Drosophila melanogaster: one gene and its partner. The protein of the gene in region 1 interacts with the protein of each later gene in a pairwise test. Each region holds a gene or a part of one and is shown in the gene's direction. Other genes may lie near its edges.

Region 1 (7,367 bases):
TCTGCATTTCCCCTCCACTGACAGAAACGCTCTACTTTTAAAGTGGCGTCAGTTCGGTTTCCCTTTGCCACGGCCGCCCGACTGCACCATTTTTGTTGCTGTGCGTTATAATCCGCTTTTTGTGATCGGATTATGTCCTGTGTAGCACCTAATCCCCGCACAGGAGTGCGACCAGCGTACACATGTTGCCAACGAGCACCACTTCCACATCTACACCTACAACTACACCACTCCCATTCCCTTTTTCAGTTCCAATCCGATTCCATCCATCCGCACTGATCCCGCAGTCGCAGTCAACTTTAATTACGCACTGGACGTCGATGGATGGATTAGGGCGGCCTTACGCCCACCGACTGCCCGGAAAAGCAATTAAAATGTGTATATCCTGGATAAACAGGAGAACGTCCCTAAATGGAACCACCTTTCAAGTTATAAAGCTGTTAACATTTTAGAAAAAAACATGTTTTCATGGTTTGTTCCAATTAAACGTTATTAACAATAAGTTCGGAACTGAGAGAGTTTATAAAATGTACATCAACCAAGATGGTTTTTCTCCTAAAAATAACAAAAAGCTATTAATATAAGATTAAAAGTTTATAACAGGTACAAAGAACAGTAGACAGTAAAACAAATATACATATAATCTTTTTTAAAATTTTTTTTCCGAACTCGAAAATAAAACACTAGTAACGAGAATAGACTAGAGCGACCTCTCTTGTTCACTTCAAAAATATGTTGAATATCTATTTTGACATTGAGCGTACTAAATCAGAAAATCTTTAATGCACATATTGGCTTTGACACAATTACCTAGTTTAGAGTATAGAGTATTATTTCTAATCCTAAATTCGTTCAATCGGATCACAAAGGGGATGGTTGACTATAGATGCCATAAAATCCCAGCATTTTAAAATCCCGATGTCTGCATTAATGCCAGGTAGTTCGAGTAAAGTGAAAAGAGAGTCATTTTCCAAGATCTACCCGCCCTTATTTCAGGGTAATCAAGTTAATTAGAAACTTTACTTTTTTGTGCATTTAACGACTTTTATTTTTGGGGGCTGGGGTTTCCTAGCACCGGCGTCTGGCCATCGGCACTTTGCCTTCTCCTCGTTTTGCTTTGCTTGCATATTCTCATCAAATTAAAGTTAATTGTACATCATTAAAGGCGGATTCTAAGAATTCGTTTCGGGTCTCGTCGGTATCTAACACAAAATGGCGTCGTACGATTTTGGGTTTTCATTTATTCCGATGTCAAGCAATTTAATTACAACCTGTCGCATGCATGGGGTAACACACAAAGACATGACTTCATGAATATGTATGTACGACAAGCGTTCGTACATACGTATTTATGGGAGTATTAAATATGGCCTCATGGAGGGTAGGAAAATGCATTTAGGTGCAGTGTTTTTGAGATGACATATGGATGCCCGCCAGCGGCAACCTCCCCATCAGCTGTCACTTTTAATGCCGAAACCCGCCATTTTGACAGGAGCTACAAATGAATAGGTTTCTCTTTTCAGTTAAGCTTCAGTGATTTTGAGTGTTTTACCGAATCGGAAGTATAAAGGTAAAAAAGAAAGTCTCCACAAAAGCAGACCTTGTGTTTATGAATGTATAAAACCTTTCAAGCTAATTTTAATTAAAAACAAATTAATAATCATTTGAGTTTAATATGAGCAGAGGTATCATTGTTTACTATATATAGGAAAAAATTATCCGTGAATTTTAAGTCTTCTCTCTTTATTGAGAAATTCTTATTATGTTTTTCGCCCATAAAAGTTACTTAACGACATCATGTATTCCATGTATTCATGAGTAGGTACAGTTAGTTTTGTGAAGTCATGCATAAATTAGAATAATTTACTCGATGAAAAGGAAAAAAATGCCGTCAAGAGAAGAATTAGCATTCAAATCTAAAGGAAATCTAAAGGATCGCATAATTCTTACTGGATCATAAATAATTCTTTGATAATTCTTTTCATATTAATTATTTAACTATTCCGTGCTTGGCAGTTTCTTAAGTCAGATTGTTTTGTAGTTATGTACATGCATGTATGAAAATCTTTAACAGGATTAATAATCTAAAAGCTATTCCTTTGAAATCCCCATCATCATCCATTCTGAACTCCACACCTTGCCTCGGCGAAGTACTTTCCACTTGATAGTTTGCCCGCATCAGAAATGGGCATTAAGTGATCTGGAGGGGATTCAGGCGGGGGGGGGGGGGGGACTGGGCATGGAGTCTGGGGGTCTTAAGTGCCCCCAACGACCACAGCAAACACAACCGTTTGCATGATTGAGGGACGGATTGAATGAGTGCATGTCATTCCCAATCCCTGGTTGGGGTTCAAGAGAGAGTGGCCACTCCAAAAGGCCCACTCTAGGCGAACATTTATTTGCACGGTTGCAGGAGAAGTTTGAGTCTTTCATACAGTCAGGCTTCCGTAACTAGAAGTATCACATGCCGCATAGAAAGTTAGAGCTCGAATTTTTAATTACATACATGAAAACGTGTTTGTTTTATTTAGCACACATAATAAAATATCGTGACCAATTAGTGTCATCTAAAGCGGTTATCATTTGTGAAAAACATTAATTTTGTTTTATTGTAATCACAAGCCGTTGATTTTAATTCATAATGTTAGTGTTAAATGAAACTTTCAAATTGCCCAATTTACGTTGAAAATAAGGTAGTTATATTCTGTATGTCCCAAAATTATATTGGAAGTTCAGTTAAGGCAAGTTATCTGGCTGTACAGTAAGTAACTAATACAATGAAAATAAACAAAAAGGTGTAAAAGCAATTCAATAATTCTTTAGATTGAAGTAGTTAAAATATTATAGTATTTTTTTATTTTTCAGGACAATTATGTTCAAGCTTTCCACTAGGATGATCTACTTGGGTTCCACTGTAGCTTAAAGAGCAGCTCAAGCACGACGGAGAGCAAACAAAACACAGTAGAGAGCACACACACAACCACACACACTCTATTGCCGCTCATCTGGAGAGTGGCAGCTGCATGTTGCAGCTGATCTGCAATTGCAAGAGAGGGAGACCATCTTGACTTAGCCCTTCCACGTAAGTGAAAGCGAGGTAGCGACTGTCTAGAAACAGCTTGTTTTGCTCGCACTCATAGGGGAATCGAGAACCATCGGCACGAGACCCTAACTCACTACACAGTAAAAAAAAAAATTCTCAATCAGTAAGCTAATAATTAATGTTTAATTTGTACCTTTTTTAATTTAATTAAATTCTTGCATTAAGTTGGTATATTATTTTTCATTTTTTCATATAACAACTTAAAAATTTGTATATTAGAACTAATTTTAAAGTTGATTCAACGTTCGATAACATCACATTTCTTACATCTTAACTGGTATATCCAAGATTAAAACTGCATAGTCATATTAATTTTAAAATAATAGAAAACTATATATACACATATACTGTAAAATAGAGCAAAGTGCACGCCGTTTTTCTCACTGTAAGATCTCGGACTGGGCCGTGAAAGTGAAACACAACAACACTTGCCATTGCGCGCTGTTTGTTTGGTTGTGTGAATACGCTGCTTTGTTTGCCTTGGCCTGGGAAAAAGATAACAAACGCTTTTTGCACGAGACTCGATTCGAAACGCTTGATAAGGAGGACGCAGCACGAGCGCATCAAAATCCAACCAAAACAAAAGTTTACACTGAGCAGACTGCGCAGAGCAGGGGAATATGTGTATTGAGCCGGCTGTTTGTTATCAGCCGCAAGAGCACGTGTGATTAGGCGGCTTTAGCTAACCTCAACTTGGCGTTAGCTTATAGGTAACGAACGCGTGATACGGACTAGCAACATACCCTTTTCTCGGCACTGTCGCAGGGGTTGCTCAGACTCAGCGAAGAGGAGCTCAATGACGAGGTTGTGGGCGCACCGCTGGCCGTGTTTGGTGTGCTCATCTGGGGCAGGGCATCCGTGGGCACGGCATCCAGCTGCTCCTGCTTGATCCCGGCGATAAGCGGCAGGAAGTCGTTCTTTAGCTGCTCCAAATCCATATCCATGTTGGCGAAGTCCTGCGATTTAACCGCGTAGGCGGTTGCTGGCGATCGTTGAAATTAAAACGTGGGCGTGCTAATTATAGCAACTGATTTTTGGTTGACTGACCGACCGACCGAATGTTTCCCTAAAGGCTGTCGCCTTGAAACGGCATGACTATTGCGATTATGTTGCGGTATTATTGTTTTGGAATTAGTTGGGTAGTTAATCCATTCCAATGCTTACACGCACGCACACGCACAAACACACACAGGGCGCGCGCACCAATACACAGGAACTACACGAGAGCAGGCAAAAACAACGATTTGTGCTTGTATGGATGTTCACAAACGATTTTTCGCTGATTCTTAAAGTTTTGTTCGTAGTTGACTCCTCTTCAATTGGGTGGCTAATGCATTTTAATTTCACCTTCGACTTCTGGCTTGCAAAAATATTGGGTTCTCCCTCTCTCTTTCGCACAGAGCGACACAACTTTCGTTTTACTTATACACGACGTTCGCTCGAATTTCGCTGCTATTTTTCGGTCTGGCCGTCGATTTTTCCAGCGATTCGTGCCGCATTTCGTCCATACGCGGCTGCTATTCTTTATTCGCGCTGCGAGCGCGCTCTTAGTGCGGTTTTATTGGCGTAATTCGCTGCGAAAACACACGGTCTCACGGCGTTTGCTCTCGTTGGACGCTTCTTCTGTACAAAAAATGTTCAGCCATTTTGGATTCAATTAATTCATGTCGGCGTTGCCAGTACGACGGCATTTCGAGGGCTGTTACGCACGGCCGTGGAAACGTAAGCAGCTGAGGTCACACTAAACACGCGATCTGGCAATACCACAATTGAATTCGCCGTTCATTTCGTAAAAAATCATATTAATGTTGTAATACATGGTCAAGATGCCATTTATTTACAATTTAAAACTAATAACTTAGCCTGGTATTAAAAGGTTATAGTAAAATATAACATAATTTTTAAAATAAACTTGTAACGTCTTCGTTCTGTTAAGTCATAACGTTACGTAAAGCTTTGAACATTTTTCTCCACACAGCTAATTTAAAACTTAAGTAAATCAAAAGTAGCATTTCGGAAACTCAACTTAATTATTGAGCTAATTCAAAGAACGCGATTTTCGAAAAAAACATATTTGTATTAGCCAAACAGAGCTGTTAAATAAAACAGCTGATCCGTAACAGAGCAAGAAGAAGAAGCACAACCACACGTGTGTGAATTCCTCCACTTTAAATCCAGAATTGTTTACTTAATGTTTTTAAGACGACTTTTAAACGACTACACCAAGGCAGGTTAATTATTAGTGATCACACCTCCAATTCGAGAATTTATAATAATTAATTTTCTTACAATAGTTCGCCTGAAAACCCTTTGCAATCCCTGGAATCGCCACAAATCCTTCGCCGCAGCGATGTCAGAGGCTCTAGATAAACTGGAGGTGGAGAAGGAAGCCAGGAAAGAGGCCAAAGAACTGGAGGGCGAAGCCGTGAAGGACGCCAACCGCATCAAGAGAACACTTAAACGCAAGAAATGGGTCGATTGGAAGGAGCAGGACGAGAAGGATGCCGCCAACGGCGTGAAGCGAGCGCCGTTCGATCCCGCCGACCGGATCAAGCGCAAGAAGAGCGCCATCCTGCTTAGCTACTGCGGTGCGAACTACTATGGTATGCAGCGCAATCCCGGCATGCAGACCATCGAGGAGGAGCTCTTCAAAGCCATGCTAAAGCACAAGTGGATTACAGAGGACAGCTTTGAGCAGATTCAGATTTCCTGTTTCCAAAGAGCGGCCAGGACCGACAAGGGCGTCTCCGCCGCCCGCCAGGTGTGCTCCGTCAAGCTGCGTTAGTTTACTTATTCTATTTTACAAGACAATACTAAACCTATTCCTTCCTGCAGCTGAGGAGCTGGACCTGGAGGCCTTCAATGCCGATCTGCCGCAACAGATCCGTCTGTTTGGCGTAGAACGCGTGACTAAGGGCTTCAATGCCAAGGATCAATGCAATGCTCGGACCTACACCTACACACTGCCCACCGTGGCCTTTGCTCCGTTTGAGGAAAAGGTCGACGACGTGCACGACACCTTCCGGATTTCACCAGAGCTGCTGCAGAAGGTTAAAGAAACCCTGAAGCTCTACGAGGGCACGAAGAACTTCCACAACTTCACCAGCAAGAAGTAAATAAGCCAGGTTTATACTTCATTTCTGCTCCAACTAATATTTTGTTTACTACCCTTGTAGAAGCTTTCTGGATCCTTCGTCCAAGCGCTTCATCATGTCCTTTACGAGCAGCGAGCCATTCCGGAGTCCCCAGGACATCGAATTTGTCACACTTAAGGTTAAGGGTCAGAGCTTTATGCTGCACCAGATTCGCAAGATGGTGGGTCTAGCCATTGCCATTGTAAGGGGGAACACGACGGCGGCCACTTTAGAGCGGGCACTGACGGAGGAGCGTCTGGACCTGCCGATGGCCCCTGGACTGGGCCTCGTGCTGGACACAGTGCACTACGAGCGCTACAACGATCGCTACGGCAAGGACGGCATCCACAATCCGCTGACATGGCAGGCGCAGGAGGCGCAAGTCCAGGAGTTTATCGAGAGGGAGATCTTTAGCCAGATCTATAAGACGGAAGCCGAGCAGCGTAACATGCTCGACTGGATAGGAACATTGCATTATCACTCGTACGACACGCGGACGGAGGACGCGCCTCCACCTTCCTCCGAAGACAAGAAGGTTAAAGGTGGTGATGACGACAATGACGAATAAGATAGATTTTTTTATGAACATTAACAAATAAAATCCAATCAATTTACACTTGTACAATAAGGTAAAATGCAAAAGCGGTTTTTATAATCAGCGTTCGAAAGTATAAAGGCATGTGATCTGTGTCAGTTTAGAAGCGACCGCCCTTCTTCTTTTTGTGGCCACCTTTGCGGTGCTGCTGCCTTGGACCTGGAGCTGTTTCCTGGTAAACGGGTGTGGCGGGGGAGTTCTTGGTCAGATTCACGCGGCTGGACATGTCGCTGTAAAGAAACATTTTAATTAGAACCATTTTAACAATTTACTATCTAACGAGCTTACTATTGATCGGCTGCTCCTGAGGCCATGCCCTGGGAGCCCTTAATGACATCTTTGCCGCGAGCGCCACCTCGCTTCTTTCGGAAGCCTGTGCGCTCGTACTTGGGCAGCCAGCGCTCTGGATCAGGAGCCACTTCGGCGTTGTAGTTCTTGGGGAGCTTGCCCTTTCGTTTACGGTTCCTGTTCTTCTTTTTCTCTAGCGGTGTGCTCGGCGAGGGTTCGACCTTGGTATTGGCAGTCTTCTTGGCCG
Region 2 (7,638 bases), on another chromosome or scaffold:
AAAAGCCAGACTTTGACCGGCGATTAGCAACGAGCTTTCCACTACAACTTTTGACCCGATCTCTGTTTTGACTTCACTTCTACAATATATACGTATGTATATTCGCGAAATTAGCGTGCAAATCGTAAAAGCGCACAGATAACGCAAACGATCGCGCGGGGGTGATTACAAAAAAAAAGCTGAAGCCAATGCGAAACCAACTTGGCGAACACACACACGCACGCACAATAACACACACACACACACTCTGTTGTTGGCCTACAAGCTCCGCCTGTTGTATTATTGTGTACAATATAAACAATTACGATTACGATTACAATTGCACTTGATAATGATATGAAAATATCATAATATTTATATTTTTTCGTAATATACCCGATGTTAATTTGCCCGGCGATTTACCGAATACGCAAGCGCAGTTTTCTATGATGTTATTTGTTGATGTTTTCGTTGGGAAACTGAAACACGGGCAGCCCGGCTTGAAATTTATCTTCAAATTTACAGAGTGGCTATTGCGGGTTGCTTATATAGCTTCGGCCGAACCGTTTAACCGATTTGCCCGTTTCGCTCGATGTTCGAATCGAACTTCGCTCTCTCTCTCTCGCTCGCAACAAGTTGCAGTATGCTGTGGTTGCAGTCACCGATGGAAATCAAGTTGCCAATTACTTTGCAGCTAAAGCCCGAGTTGGCATGCCCCAGAAACTACCATTTTTTCTCCTTTAACATTTTTGACATTTCAGAAAAACTACAAATCTTATTGCAATTTTTGACGTTGGTAAAAATGACACTTACCCACTTGGTACACCATTTGTTGCGGAACGAATTAACACTCTATCGATATTGCCGATAATTTTTAACGATATCATAAAAAGTCAAACTTAGTATTTATTGTATGAACATATTTTAGTTTTTAACCTAACTCAAAAGCTAATTGCCCTTCCGGCCAGAGTTTTGTTAAATATATATATATTATTAATATATTCTATTATGTTAATTTAATTTTTTGTTAAAAAGCGAACAGCTTAAACTTTTTAGCACCAAACGGAAAATAGTTGATATGCTATCACCGATCAGTCTTCGCGCAACCATGGAAGTGATCAATGCGGTAATCGCGGCACTCGTATGCCTATTTATTGCCAACAATAACGTAATGTCGCGCCTGCTGGTTGAGAATTGTGGAATATCAAAGGACGATCCATACGTTCCGAACATTTTTGGAGGAGCCAAAACAAATATTCAAGAAAATCCTTGGATGGTGTTGGTTTGGTCGAGTAAGCCCTGCGGCGGCTCTCTTATTGCACGGCGTATGTATTTGACTAAAACATTGGTTATTCTTTATTTACTCTATACTAATATATTAATATATTTATATTTATTTAGATTTATAATATAGTTCATAGTCCACGATATATATATCTTAACTTACATGTACCCAAAAACTGAAAAGCATATGAATAAATAATCGAGATAGTCGACTATTTTATTATTTTTTTATTATTTATTTATTTTTCTTTTAAGAATTCGTCCTGACAGCAGCGCACTGCGTATCCTTTGAAGATCTGTATGTGCGCTTGGGTGATTACGAAACACTAGATCCCATGCCATACTGCCTTAACAATCACTGTATACCAAAGTTCTACAACATTAGTGTGGATATGAAAATTGTTCACGAAAATTATAATGGCATCACTCTCCAGAATGATATAGCATTGCTTCGTATGTCCGAAGCTGTGGAGTACTCAGGTAAATAGAGGGGTTTTATCTCACGTGGATGACTAAAGCTTTATGTTTTTCGTTATAGATTATGTTAGGCCAATTTGCCTTCTTGTCGGCGAGCAAATGCAAAGCATTCCAATGTTTACGGTTACCGGCTGGGGTGAAACAGAATATGGTCAATTCAGTCGGATCCTACTGAATGCCACTCTATATAACATGGATATATCATACTGTAACATTAAGTTCAACAAACAGGCTGATCGATCGCAGATATGTGCTGGCAGTCATACCAGTAACACCTGTAAGGGCGATTCTGGAGGCCCATTGAGCTCGAAATTTCATTATGGCAACAGGCTTCTGAGTTTCCAGTACGGCTTGGTCAGCTACGGATCCGAAAGGTGCGCGGCTAATGTGGCAGGTGTTTACACCAATGTATCGTACCACAGGGAATGGATATTTAATAAAATGGTTCAATTCAAACCTACAGGTCATACTACCTTTTGGTTATCCAAGCTCGTAGGCCAAACTTGTAACATAACAGACATAATAAGGAATATAGAACTAATGTATAACAGAATTGTATATGAAAATTAATTAATATTCGACAAAATGGCAGGGCAACGCATCGAAGTTCGAAATATATTAAAGTTCAAGAGATTTAATTAAAAAAAAAAAATCTTGTCATTAATTGAAAATAAACGATGTCACATTCAAATCGATTGTAAAAATTGTATTAGTATTTTTTCTGAATAAATCACTTCTTATCTCTGCCGTTTGCCGAAGAACAAGCATAAAAATAGAAACCGATGCCATTCGAATTTAGTCTCTGAACAAGATGCGTCTACCTATACGGCAGCTTGTGATAGTAGCCTGTCTTTTTATTGGGATTATCCGGACGGAATCCGGACGCTTACTGGAAAACGACTGTGGAACCACGAGCAGTAATGGTTATAGAGCGCGAATCGATGGAGGTAGAGATGCTGGCATGGAATCGAATCCCTGGATGGTCAGAGTAATGATTTCGGGAAAAGCAGTGTGTGGCGGTTCACTTATAACTGCTCGTAAGTATTTGGAATTGATAATAAGAAATATATACTCAAATTATCATTGTATGTTCATTTAGGATTTGTTTTGACCGCCGAGCATTGCATTTCCCCAATGTATATGTGAGTGCATACCATACTATTACTACACATTTGATCCTCAAAATGACCTTTTTTAAGGAATGTGCGCCTGGGCGAATACGATACCCGACATCCCATATTCGACTGCGATGATTTTGTCTGCACACCAAGGGCCTACAATGTGGACGTGGATAGGAAAATTGTTCATAGTAATCCAGGATATGATATTGGTCTGTTGCGAATGCAAAGGAGTGTGATATTCTCAAGTAAGTGCATTTCGCTATCAAAAGTTTCTTGGGAACTAAATATGTAACTAACTAAAGTTCGCCATAGACTATGTCAGACCAATCTGCTTGATTCTGGGCAAAACGTTGGGTGGGAACCCACTCTCAATATTACGCTTCAATTTCACCGGATGGGGTACAAATAGTGATGGAGAAGAGCAAGATAGGCTACAGACTGCCACCCTGCAACAATTACCTCAATGGAGTTGTGAAAGACCTGGAAGACCTCTCGATATATCCTATATATGTGCCGGCAGTTATATCAGTGATTCGTGCAAAGGCGATTCGGGAGGTCCTTTGAGCGCAATTCGTACATTTGAGGGGCAGGGAAGGGTCTTCCAGTTCGGTGTCGCTAGCCAAGGACTTCGGTTGTGCAGTGGCTTGGGAATTTACACCAATGTCACACACTTTACGGACTGGATATTGGATGTTATTCAAAACCATTCAGACGACTTTGAATGAGATCAAAATATGTTGCTTAATAACAATATAATGTTTTAGCGTATATATTTTGGCTATCAATATCATAGTTTCTTGTTGGTTTTGGTTTTTTTTTTCAGATTGTAGGCTATTTCTACATTTAACATACATATTCCTTACATGAAACATACATTCGAGCAGAATGTATGGTACGGCCGCATCGATGCCGATAACGATAGGTAGCTTAACGCGTCCTACTATCGATGACAGTTTTGTTATTGTTATGATTTGATCAAGCTAAAAAAAAACCGATCAAATATAAATATATATTTATTGATTTCATTGCGCGATTTAAGCATAACCATTTGAAAATGAGCAAGTTCTCGCTCTTCAATGGCAACGATGAGGACGAGCACGAAACGGAGCAGAAATACGCACACCTTATGAGTGGGTAAGCAGCGTCCTCAGCCGGTTCGATGTTACCAAATCCTTACTTTTCGTAACAGATCTGGGAAATGCGAGTCACTCGGTGTCGGAAAATAGTTCTGGGAAAGCGAGTCGCTGCAAGTGGACCAGCGCAAAGGTGGAGACCTTTCTGGAAATCATTCACCAACTTAAACTGCAAGCTGCTCTTCGAAGGCCGCGAAGCAATGCAAAGGTGTTTCGTATGGTGTCCAGAGAAATGGCCCGGCGGAACTGCCCCAAGAGTCCAAAGCATCTGAGAGTCAAGTTCCATCAGATGCGGCGTCAGTATGCGAGAGCTCGGAATGGCGGCGAACCATTCGAGCACTTTGAGGCGGTGCACGAGTTGATGCAGGGAGAAGATGTATCTGATCTGGATGAAGAGGCGCTAGAGAGTGACAGCGATATGGAGGCCGACGAGGACCAGTCCGGCATGATCTCAGAAACCGAAGGGGACGGTAGGTGCCACCGGGCAGGAATGTATTGGAATACGAACTTAGGCGACTTTCCTTCGCAGATGCTTTGGATGCCTCAGGATCTTCAGTTAACATCGTCGCCCGCTGCAAGTGGGCAGAGGGCGAAGTGGACCTCCTCCTAGACCTGATCCACACACTTGGACTGCGAGCAGCTTTGCTGCAAAAGCGCAATGCCAAGGTCTTCAAGCTGCTGTCCAAGGAGATGGCAAAACGCAACTGCCACAAGGGTGCTGAGAAGCTGCGCATCAAGTTCCAGCAGCTGCGGCGATTGTACAACAAGGTCAAGAACGGCACGGGGAAAACGTTCGAGCATTTTGAGGCGATGCGACTGGTCCTGGATCCCACCGAAGAGGAGGCGGCCGCAGATGCTGAAGCGGAAGCCCATCTGAGCAGCGCAAGCGATAGTGATTTCAATGACAGTGACGAGGAAGAGGGTGATGCATCACAGAGAAGCGGAGGTAGATATTATAATAGCTAGTTCCTATTCCATATTTAATTAAATTCCTATGTTCCTTAGCGCACTTTTGGACAGACGAAGAGGTTGATTCGTTTCTACTCATCATTCGGGACAATGGTTTCTTTCGCGCCTTGGATGGCTCAAGGAAGCGCAACTTCCAGACCCTGGTGCACATTTCCAACATCCTGGCTAAGCAGGACATCAAACGCACGCCACACCAGCTGCGCAATAAACTAAGGCTGCTCTGCAAGCGTCATCGAGAGGCCAAGGAGCACGGGCTAGATAATGTACGCATTCTGCCTCGCCACTTTGAGCTTTTCGATGAACTGATTCAGGCGCCGCGGGAGAACAGAGAAAGTGCCATCAGCAGGCTCATTCGCATCAGCAAGCCTTCCTTTCTCAAGCCGCCAGGCAAACCAAGCGTTCCGCTGGAAAGTGACAGCGACAACTCCAGCTCCACCTGCGATCTCCTAAGAGCGGCAGCCGATAGCGAGGACTACGTGGACGCCATCGAGATGGAGGCTGAACCAACGCCGATTGAAGCACTCACTGCAATCATAGAAGGTCAAAAGCAGCTGCTTGCGCAGATCAAAACTACCAACGAAAGCTTCTTGCGGCAGCAACGCGAGCAGCAGCATCAATTTTTGGAACAAGTATCGGAACTGATGCATCGAGATCGAGAGGAGACCCTGCGCAGGATCAGCGAAATGCTGCAACCGAAGTAATGGAAACATAGAACTCAAGCTTCTAAAACTTTTATTGAATTGAATTCGAAGTTATTGCAAAAAGTTGTCATTATTTATATATATTATATGTATGTATTCTATATTCAATATCGTGTGTGTGTGTGTATCCTGTTTTTGTGACAGTGTCCTGTGTCTAGAATTTATTCCTCATTCATTGTGAACAGAATGTTGGTTTGAAGTTACTCGCAATTCGCAATTGTCTACGATTTATCTAGGGTTTTGTATAAGTATATACGTAATTTTGAGAGATTTTTCGTTTTTTATTTGATATGCTACATTGTTATTTTTTGGGATTAAGTTAACAGTTGGATTCGTTTTAGGTTTTAACATTAAGCGAAAATGCTCGTTAGTTTTTAGTTTTTGTTCTGCTTGTGTCATCTGTATACACATATGTATATATTTTGTATATTGTTCGGTTTACAACAACTAAGCAAGCTCGTCATAAAATATGTGTTGCACTCCAAAAAAAAAAACAATGTAATCAATTGGGCATAGAAAACTAAACTGCTGTTGCTGATCTGAACCGATCTGGCTTGATATATATACGTGTATGTTCGTTACGTTACGCTCAGGCACAAAGTGTAAATTACAAATATCTCTCCGCATCTCGAAAACCATAGGGAAACACAATCAATCAATCAACCAATCAATCAATCAATCAATCAATGGGTTCTCATTTGGTGGTTAATTATTGCATTCGCATTCATTTCCTAGCGGTGTGTGAGTTGCTTGTATTTCATAATATTTTTTATTCTTTGAGTTTCTGTGGCTTTGTGTCTCTTGGAGCACGGCTGAAAGCTTGGCTTGACTTGGCTGCTGCTGCTGCATTATTTTTTCTCAGTGTGTGGTAACAACAATAACAAGGTGTCTTTTGGAGATTATGTGGACTCTGCAGTAACAATCTAAGAGCTGACCGGCTCGGGCAGTGGGTTCTCTGTGATGCGTATCTTGTTGCTCTGGGTGCCGTAGTAAAGCGTGCCCGATGTGTCCGTGGTCACGTAGGCTCGGTTGCCATTACCGGTTCCTGTTCCGTTGCCGCCGGCACATCCGTTTCCGTTCTCCAGATCCTGGTCGTCCCCGTCGACGCTGCGACCATCCGCATTATTATTGTCCCCCTGGCCGGCGGTGGTGTTGGAGTTGCTGCTGGTGCAATTGATGGCCGTCTCCCGAAGGCGATTGCCAACGCGAAGGCTCAGCTGCCGCTGGCGATCCCGCTCCCTTTCCCGCTCACGATCGCGCTCCTCCATCGCCTGCTGCTGCTGCTCCCGGAAGTTGGCAAAGAAGATGGAGGAGTAGGTGTGGTATTTAGTTCCACAGGGCGAACTCGCTGGCGTGGACAGCGGCGTTGCTGTTGCAGTTTTATAAGTGGAGTTGTTGTTGTTTTGGGGGGAAGGTAGTAGTAGTTTGGCTTTTGTTATTTACGTTATGTCACTTGATAACATGTAAGTTGTTGGTTCTTGTTCTTGATGGGTGTTTTTCTTTATACACTTTCTAAAAGGCTTGCCTGCTGTTTTTGAAATGTATGTACGTGTGGTGATGTCTGTACGTTTGCAAAAGGCTGCGATTAAAATAAATAAAATTCTTAGATTTGCTTGACTCTCTTAACTCTTAAAATTCGAATGGAAGTTAAGGCTTTATGTCCATTGTAAAGATAACTATGTAGTATTCAATAATCTCATCATTGATTATGGTTACAATTTACATCGTTTAATTCAGTCTTTATATTGTTTAATAAGGCTAAGTTCACTTGAAACTATCTTTAGTTAGCTGAAGCTATAAAAACAGCTTACAACACATGAATCTAAATAATTTACCTCTATCCTTATTTTAATCGCAGCTGCAAGTGTATCTGTATCTGTATCTGAATGTAATGTGTATGGTGTGCATTTTGCATGATTCGAGATGAAAGCGGCGACAATCTGCTGCTGCTGTTGTTCTATTATCGTTATAATT

The links. The genes of interacting proteins can lie anywhere in the genome.
Region 2: the proteins of Pus1 (region 1) and CG10494 interact in a two-hybrid assay, tested with the Drosophila melanogaster proteins (one large-scale study listed by BioGRID).

What each region holds. Positions count from the first base shown.
Region 1 is NT_033777.3:20,590,524-20,597,890, reverse strand, and holds Pus1 (pseudouridine synthase 1), read left to right. Parts: upstream 1-5,219; 5' UTR 5,220-5,294; coding exon 5,295-5,334; intron 5,335-5,397; coding exon 5,398-5,883; intron 5,884-5,938; coding exon 5,939-6,215; intron 6,216-6,279; coding exon 6,280-6,805; 3' UTR 6,806-6,867; downstream 6,868-7,367. Other genes in the region: bon (bonus), read right to left, coding at 3,847-4,047; Srp72 (signal recognition particle 72), read right to left, coding at 6,933-7,062, 7,121-7,367.
Region 2 is NT_033778.4:21,515,283-21,522,920, reverse strand, and holds CG10494 (uncharacterized protein), read left to right. Parts: upstream 1-3,795; 5' UTR 3,796-3,915; coding exon 3,916-3,991; exon of another isoform or gene 3,992-3,995; intron 3,996-4,050; coding exon 4,051-4,464; intron 4,465-4,523; coding exon 4,524-4,940; intron 4,941-4,999; coding exon 5,000-5,664; 3' UTR 5,665-5,766; downstream 5,767-7,638. Other genes in the region: CG30289 (uncharacterized protein), read left to right, coding at 1,088-1,304, 1,519-1,743, 1,802-2,310; CG30288 (uncharacterized protein), read left to right, coding at 2,552-2,777, 2,840-2,882, 2,940-3,106, 3,174-3,586; MESK2 (misexpression suppressor of KSR 2), read right to left, coding at 6,588-7,033.